Daphnia pulex: one gene and its partner. The protein of the gene in region 2 interacts with the protein of the main gene of each other region in a biochemical or structural test. Links are inferred from orthologs where the notes say so. Each region holds a gene or a part of one and is shown on either strand. Other genes may lie near its edges.

What was found.
Region 1: of the proteins of serine/threonine-protein kinase Warts-like (region 2) and MOB kinase activator 1B, one has a biochemical effect on the other in vitro, tested with the Drosophila melanogaster proteins (2 studies listed by BioGRID). The link is inferred for Daphnia pulex from reciprocal best matches to the Drosophila melanogaster genes wts and mats.

Annotation. Positions count from the first base shown.
Region 1 is NC_060026.1:14,193,957-14,197,990, reverse strand, and holds MOB kinase activator 1B, read right to left. Parts: upstream 2,556-4,034; 5' UTR 2,302-2,555; coding exon of another isoform or gene 2,288-2,301; 5' UTR 2,192-2,287; coding exon 1,993-2,191; intron 1,928-1,992; coding exon 1,700-1,927; intron 1,628-1,699; coding exon 1,464-1,627; intron 1,388-1,463; coding exon 1,307-1,387; 3' UTR 670-1,306; downstream 1-669. Other genes in the region: protein ABHD8-like, read left to right, coding at 66-256, 330-446; uncharacterized protein LOC124203813, read left to right, coding at 3,763-3,891, 3,958-4,034. UniProt on the Drosophila melanogaster protein: Coactivator of Warts (Wts) kinase in the Hippo/SWH (Sav/Wts/Hpo)signaling pathway, a signaling pathway that plays a pivotal role in organ size control and tumor suppression by restricting proliferation and promoting apoptosis.
Region 2 is NC_060026.1:6,948,548-6,953,033, reverse strand, and holds the start of serine/threonine-protein kinase Warts-like, read right to left. Parts: upstream 2,843-4,486; 5' UTR 2,494-2,842; intron 2,237-2,493; 5' UTR 2,087-2,236; coding exon 1,874-2,086; intron 409-1,873; coding exon 339-408; intron 224-338; coding exon 1-223. Other genes in the region: uncharacterized protein LOC124206172, read left to right, coding at 2,874-3,049, 3,268-3,360, 3,421-3,561, 3,636-3,790, 3,869-3,897, 3,962-4,486. UniProt on the Drosophila melanogaster protein: Negative regulator of Yorkie (Yki) in the Hippo/SWH (Sav/Wts/Hpo) signaling pathway that plays a pivotal role in organ size control and tumor suppression by restricting proliferation and promoting apoptosis.

The DNA of each region.
Region 1 (4,034 bases), about 7.2 Mb from region 2:
GCTTGTCGATCTCACCCAATCGAACAACGTTTCAATATTCTTATTTTGTCATTTCTTAACAACAGGGAAAAGTTGCCTGCACGACTCGGTCTACCTTCAAAGTCTTCCTTCCTACGTCCGTCACAACCTGGCAGTTGGTCAGGTGTGGCCAGAAGGCGATGTTGCCTTCCACCGCAAAATAGTGATGCCCACACTCCTCGTTCACGGACTAAAGGATCCGTTTGTCTCCTTGGTCGAGATGTGCGAAATGGAAAGAGTAAGTCGTTCTTGTTCATTTCAAACTCAATCGACTGGAACTAACTAGTTAACTTTGTGTACCCTTCTTTTAGACTATTCCACGTGCTTTCCTTGAGGTGATACCAGAATCCGGCCATGATATCATGTCGGATGCTCCAACTCAGCTGTGCAAGATGTTACGCAAATTCTTCGAACACTGGCAGCGCTGACGATAGTTCCCCTGTAATTTTTTAATTTTTCTAAAAAGGAACTAGACTCTTTGACTTATTAGTCTAACATGTAAACTACACCGTCGATCTACTTTTTTAACTGCTGTGCCTTCCTATTATTATTACGCGAGTTTTATACGCCTTTTTTCCTTGTATCTTTCATTTTCCAATTAAAACGATCCAATATACTCGAGGGAATTTCGCGGACCAAAAGAATCCTGTGTACCGATGTCTGTATATGTATTTACATGACTTGTTTATTTACACTTACAAGGTAAACAAACAAAAAAGAACAAGAACATTTTCGTGGCCGTTCTCAACTTGCGCGCAAAATTATTTATATAATAATAATATAAAGTATAATTTTTTTTTTTGTTTCACCGACAGTCTAACAAGGGAGAGGCTTTTTTTTTATCTCGGAAACTTCATCAGAGATGGGAGGAAAACGCCATCATCATGAAAGCAAAAAGGAAAATCATCGCGCTAGGATTTCTTTTAAAAAATGTGACGTGATTATGGGGGGGGGGGGGATCTCACTCATCAATGTGGACAAAGCACTTTTTTAAAATTTTTCTTTTCGAATCATACGCTTTCCCTAAACAATTTTGTGACGATCAATAATAGGATACATTTGTAAAGATAGACCGATCCTTCTGGTGAAGTTTTGGGGAGTTATCAATCGTGTGTGTGTGTGTGTGATAAAGATGCACGGTGGCATTGATGGAAGGGCAGATCCTACGTATAAATCCTTGTGAAAAAGTAAAACGAATTGACAGCAGACTCTAGTTGACAGTTTCAAGGCCTCATGAATAAAAAAATGATATGAAGTGGCTGCAACAACACGATCCGCGACAACTAGTTCATCTTCCTTCTTTGTTGGCGAGCTTGTCAATTAATTCTTGGAGAGGAGCCAGCTCCCTTCTATCAATTAAACTAAATTCCTGATAAATTTCAAATTGAAGTCGTTTAATACAAGATTTTAAAATATATTTGTTTCTTCGATCAAACTTTACTGACCTGGACAAAGTAGATGAAATGTTTGAAAGAGGTATTGAGGTGTGCTTCTTCCCCAAGCTGTACCACCTCGGGGAAATGCTGATGATAAATGTGAGCATAGACACGGAAAAGGCGCTTCAGTATAGTTTTGGCTATTGATAAAAAGTTTCTGGGGAATGGAACACCTGCCAAGACAAAGTCCAGTCTGTGTCACTATTGTTTACCATTTTGTTATCAGCATCAATAAAATGACTCACCGATTTTGGATGGAAATAGATTTTCATCATCCAACTGATCCTGCACCCAGGTCATGAGGTAGTCAATGTACTTTGGAGCAGAACATTTGATGGGTTTCTTAACTGTTTGACCATCTGCCCAGTGGTATTCGTACTTTGGGCCAGCAGACATGATGGGGCAGCTTTCTTCTGTGCAAAACTCTGTGATTGTGCCGTACAGCATGTTGATCTGATTGAAGAAGTCAACAGCTGGAAGGAGACAAAGAGAATGTCTAGTCGTGATTCGGGAAATCTACAAGAATGTGATTACTCACTGTTGACAGCGACCCATTCATTCTGATCTTCTCCATCTGGCAGCATGACTGCTAATCTCAGATTGCCTGAGCCAAGTGTGGCAGCTGCATGTTTCATCAAATCATACTGATGAGTTCCTTCAGGTATGTTCTTCTTGGGTTTGAACGTCTTGGACGAACGGCTCCCACTGCGATTGCGAAGCAAACGGCCGTCAGCCATGGATGTAAACAAAACAATTGATTAGAGACCAACAACCACAACGACTCTCTCTGGGCTAGTTCGTTTCTGACTGATAAACAACAAATGAAAACTTACAACAGAAAACTCATCTTGTTGTTTTTCTTTTTTCACTTCTCTCCCCAACGACAGTGCCCAATTTCAACGGCGCGGGGGAGGGTGGGTAATTTTGAATAGCGATCACAGTCAATAATGGCGATTGAAAAATGGAATAAAAACGTAAGATGTCGTCGATTTTTACAGATTTGTTGGCAGTTCCTCAGACGGGAAAAAGACTTTCGTTGTTGCTCAACCTAAAAATATTTTACTTTGTCATCAAAATTCTTCTGATAGATGATGTCATCACCACATGGTGAATAAATCCAACGACAGATGGCGACGAGGGCGGAAGTCCATTCGGAATTCCCCCCCCTCGTCACAAACAAATTTCCCAGAAATAATTCATTTTTTGAAATCAAAACCCCACAACTTTTGGATGGAATCCAACTCGTAAATCCCTCAATAATTCCACCCGAAAAAAAAGGAGTTAATCAAACAAGAGCGTTGCATTCGTTTTCATCGAGTGTGAACATTTTCCCTTTTGTTTTTCTATATTCAAACAAGTATCAAATTCCAAAGGGATTGATCTCCCACTGAGATGATGGCCCACCACCAGGAGCTTCTTCCCACAAATAAAAATTTTTAAAACAAAAAATAAAAAAGGAAAAAGAAAATGTGTATCAAAAAACAACATCAGGGAATAAAAAGAAACCCGTGGTGTGTGTGTGTGTCTACACCTCCGCTGGAAAAGTGTAGAGAGAGTCAAGGAAAAAGTCATCAACAACCCGGCGCCAATGTCCAGCAGCGACTCTTATGTTATTCCAAGAAGCTCAGCAATTTCCCTTTTCCCTCCGACTCCCGATGTGTGTGTGTGCACTTCGACACCTGTACCCCCCGTCATCCTTTAACCTTCCGAATCGCAATGCACACACACAAGTTCTTTTCTTTTGTTTTTTCTTTCAACCATCATGAAAAAAAAATGTTTATTTCTCCAGCCAAAGACCCCAAAAAAGGTGAAAACAAATTCCGAGATTCCAAACAGCAAACCAACAGGTGCGACGACGCGACGCGACTCGGTCGGAATGGCCAATAGATTGGAGGCGCCGCTGTGGCGTCATCCTATAGCTGCTGCCCCCCGTCAGTCGTGTGTATAGACTTTTGTTTTTTAGATTTTTTGGTTAAAAGGACAGACGCCAGTAGCTTGTCTTTTGTATTTTTCCTCTATCAAAATGGGCCTACGGATAAACAATAATTTATTCTAAAATGTTTTGAGCGACGGATGACTTATGGATGGATTTAGTTTTATCGTACAGGCCTACTACATTTTGGTCGTAGTGTATACGATAGAGATGCACGTATTACAAAAGATTTAAATTTATCAAATCAAGTGTGCGATAAAAGAAAAAAGAACATTTCTTATCATCATCAAAGTTGGGGACAGCAACTGATTGGGGAGGCTGAGTGTTGATTGAATTTCATGTTCAGTTATTTAGACACAAACGGCTCTATAAGGGATGGATCCTTTCGAGGCTGACGAAATCACACCTGTTGTTGTTCCGGAACCTATCCGCTCGGCAATTTATCCGGTTGAAGTGGAAGAAGAAGACGTCATAGATGAAAATGAGCTAACCCCTGGTGACGAGGTATTATTTGAACGTGCCAGTTTACAATTCAATGAAATTTAATTGATTGTACAACGATAAATGAAGAATAACAGCAAAGGTAAATCAAAGAGTAAATTCACATCCGGATTCAAGAATGTCCTTCCATTCGGTAAATCCTCGAC
Region 2 (4,486 bases):
GGTGGCGGATCTGACGACGACGGGTAGGCATTTCTTGACGAATAAGGCGGTGCTTCGGGTGCTACGTGACCACGAACGAGTCCCAGACCATTAAAATAGGCTGGGCTATCAGAACGGTTAGATGAAGCGGCCGAACTGGTATCAAAAGCCGGACTGCTCCTGGGTTCTCGCTCAAAACTCGGTTTCCGGTGTACCTGCTGCCCCGATGAAGGCGGAAACGCTCCTGTGAGGAATGCAAAGATAACCGTTATTGCGTGACCAATTTATTATTATCAGCTAGCGGATTTGAAATCACCCTTGAAATCTTATCAGAAAAAAATATTGACTGCGTGACTCACCTGTCGTAGCGGAGCGTTGCAGAATTTGGCCGTCGGACCGCTGTAAGTAGCCGTCGCTTCCATTTTCATGCTGAATCAGAAAAATAAAAGGTTAAACGAAGTCAACTTTCCTTCATGCCTCTACAGCTGTTTATTTCTATTCTCGACTTGGCATTTCTAATAAAAAGGGCTCTTTTCAAGACAGCCATCAAAAGAAAAATTCAATTACAGACGATATGGAGGAGGAGGCCAGGGACGAGTGTATAGTGAAAGCGGGTCTAGCTATCGGGTTTCTAACAACCGTTCAAGAATGCCAACAACTCCCTCTTTCTCTTTCCAACCACCTCATCCGCCCCAAAAATAGCCCAGATTCGGTTGAAGGCACACACACATGTGCAAGAGTGTAGACCATCACCAAGATGGAACGAGGGAGGGCTGTCAAATAGCGTACGCCATCAGTAGCGCAGCCAGCACAAACAGACCAACTGGCGGCTCTCTGCTACACACCGACAGGAATGCAATCCCGCAAAAACGAATAGATCCGGTCGAAACCCGAACCCTTATTTTCTTCTTTTCGCTCTGTGCGGCCATTCAACAGGCGGGTATCGATAATGTAGGCCATACAATGTCTCCCGGAATGTGTGCGTGTGGTTTGATGGAACACATAGGAATTCCGTCTACTAAGGTGCAAGGTCAATGAGGCGTGCGTTCGGAATTCTGGAGCCATTCGTCACACCGTCGCTCTTTCTCTCTTTGTGTGTCCTGTTGATGGTTACGAGTCCATCTCTCAAGCCACGCTAGTCAATCAGTATGTGTGATATCAGTTTTTGGGGTGTTGCAACGGTCGTCTAGTCGTATAAAAGAGGAGCGCCTCCAGCACAGGCATATGCCACGAACCATCTGCTCGGTCCATATCCCTCCCCTTTCTTCTTGTTTCTTCCGCTACGACACGCCAACCATCATTTTCGGGTGGCCGCTCTCGGCATTCTTTTTCGACCCAACATCGAAGAAATACTTGGCGCGGTAATGGACTCCCTCAGGCGCGTGCTCGGTTTGCCATCACCTTCATAAATCTCTTATCTGACCGAACTCTCTGAGGTTCATTACAATGCGAAAATTTCAAAACAAACACAATCAGTAACCTCACAGTCGGACGCAAAAATTCCCCTGAAACGCCCCTCCTTCCATATATACCTGATGGACACTAGACAGTACGGGGATTTTCAGATTAAGAAAAGGAGGAAAAATTTAGAATAAAAAAAACGACAACAAAAAAACGACCGTTTGTCCGGACCTATCCGACGGCATAACTTGCCCTTCCTTTTGGCCGGAAGAATGCCAGACTCGTAGGAGAATTTCATTCCTATCATTGTTGCATCATCACATGCAATGGTACATAATTTTCATGGGCAAACTAATCTTGACATGAAACTACTGCAACTGAAATATCTGCACAACCTAACAATCTATTCGTGTTACATGAACTGTACTTAAAGAGTATGGTATCTCATAGAAAACATAATACATAGACAGCATAAGAGATTGATATAAGTTACCTCTATGTATCCAGAAGAAGAAGTCGAATAAGGGTAAATGTGTTGTTGGTAGGAAATGTGTCCATCTTTAGGTATGGTAGGCAGAGGACTACCATTCTCGGTGGCAAAGGGTCTGAGAGAGTTGCGAATTTCTTGCAGGGCTTTCAAGTGATAGCCTGTCCGATCGGCTTTTCCAACTGCGTTGCTCATGCTAGTTTCAGCTCCAGGGCTCATACTGGCATGCCCATAGTCTTTAATGAAACTGACATGGCCAGAAAGCTGCACTGATCCACATTGTGTCACTCACTGTAGTACTCATAAATTGACGAGTTCATTCACTTTGAGAAATTTCATCCAAGGTCAGGGTGTGCAATAATCACAGACCTGCAAGATCAAACAACAGAATTAAAATTTACTAGAAACACATTTTGCAAAATATCAACAGTCGTGAGTCACGCAGGTCTAAACTAATCACAACACGAGAAAGAAAAAGAACCATGACTGTAGCCTCCAAGACTGTTTGGCATTTTCCGCCATCTTGGAAGAACTTTTTTTTTTAGAGCGAGCACAGGACGGCCCCAAAGAAAACTCGAGTTTTTACTGACGAAAGATTTTCAATTTTTAAAAGCACTACTACTTACTTGAACGGTTATCCATTAGCAATAATACGTAGAACAAACATTAAAATTTCGATGCAACATTAAGTCCACACACGGACAAAACAACATTCGTCACGAAAAAGCTCGGAATAACACTGAAGCCAGCGCAGACTATAAGCCTAGTTGCCCCTCTGGCGGTTTCACTTTGAAGAGAGAATTTTACCTCAAAGGCTCCTTTAACTCAAACGCTGAGCGTGATCCTTTCAAATCCTGTTCTCTGAATAAGTTTTATCAACCAACTGTTTCATATTTCTCATCTAAAAGATAAACAAAGGTTTTACGATTTCACAAATAAAAATTCGTTTTTTCACGTGAATACAAAATTTCAAGGGCATTGATTGAGAGCGTCCCCTTAGCGGAGAATGTTGGTACTGAAGCAGACGATAAAAACAGAAAAGAAAAAAAAACAACGAGGAGTTGATTTGATAGACGCTGTTGTGTGTTATTCATTTTCAATTTCGAAATTTCTTGTTTCGAATTTTTCCACAGAATTCCTGATGTCCAACAATACGAAACGAATAGTCCCATGGATTTCCATGTAAAATTTTATTAAGTTCTATAATACTAGAAATTGTCAAATAGGTTAATTTACGGTTAACATTTAAAATAGAAGTCACGTGGTTCAAATGCCAAAAGCTAACGTACACGTACATGTTAAATGTTTCGTACCTAATTACCTATGCTTTTATTATTTAAATATTTATTTTATAACTATGAAAAGTAGTTTGCTTGTTATTCATGAACAATTGTCTTTAGGGAAGAGTGGACACGGGTTTATCAACAAGTGTACTCTAACAAAATTGAGGAGAGATGGGCGGGACTGAATCAAATGACAATGTGGAAATCTAGGTAATTCATTTATAAAATGATAATTTTGATAAACTAATTTTTATTTACATTTTTTATTAGGGTTGACAAGCTATCTCTAGGTGTTGAATGCTCTTTGTATTTGTTACAAGCAATTTTACGTGATGAGGAATACAAGATGGATCCTAACAGTGCCCTGTCTGAAAACGATGTGGTTTTAATGTACTCCACTGCCATCATTAGGTAACTCTTACTATGTTAAGTTACATGTTTAAGTATCTTTCAATACTTAAACCTATTTAAATCTTTGTTCACAGGTTCATCAATTTGATATCTCATTTAGGACAAGTAGATTTAAGACATCAACCCATATCCGCCATTGCCGAAATGGCAGGGATTCCCGACTGGCTTGTCAGTATTCGGCACGAGGCTACCCACGCCAAGATGCCTTCTTTGGATATCTTGAGGCCAGGTATACATACCGCCTTTCTACGATAACTCTTAAATTTTAAAAATTCTTCATCTCAAATTTTTTTCTCGAATTTCTTAGGCGCCAACTTGGCTATGGATTGGTTGAAGGTAAAGACACTTTTTTTTCTTAACTTTCCTTTATGCGCAGACATGAATGCAAATTTAATAATAGGAAAATTATTGGCGTACCGAAGAAGAAGATAGCTATGATCTTTATTGGCCCGAGTCCAAGAGGGCCACATCTCGAATGATGCTTGCCAAAACGAAAATGGCAGAGGAAGGGAAGAATACGGGTTCGGCTGCCTCCAAGCATGCAGTAATACCTGAAGAATTGCAACTAGCCGTGTCTATGCTAGTAGTGCTTCTTAAGGAAATGGGCTGTCGGAATTCTTTCAATGAAATTCAGTCGCGAGACCTTCACCAGTACGCTTACGAACTTTGGCTCCAGACCAAGATCCCTTCCACTCCTTTGAACAAAAAGGAAATTGCCAAATTGGCAATACCGTTAAAGAAAATCCTTGCATTAATATTTGATGAAATCAAACGGATATTGTCTGAATGGGTGGAAACTGATGGGGTTGAGGGAATTGAACAGACGGAAAAAGTCGACGCACTCAAAGGGAAATGTTTCATCTCAGCTCTCTGTCAAAGTCCCCATTTATTGAAGAAACCCGAAAAGGGCACAATTTTCTCCAAC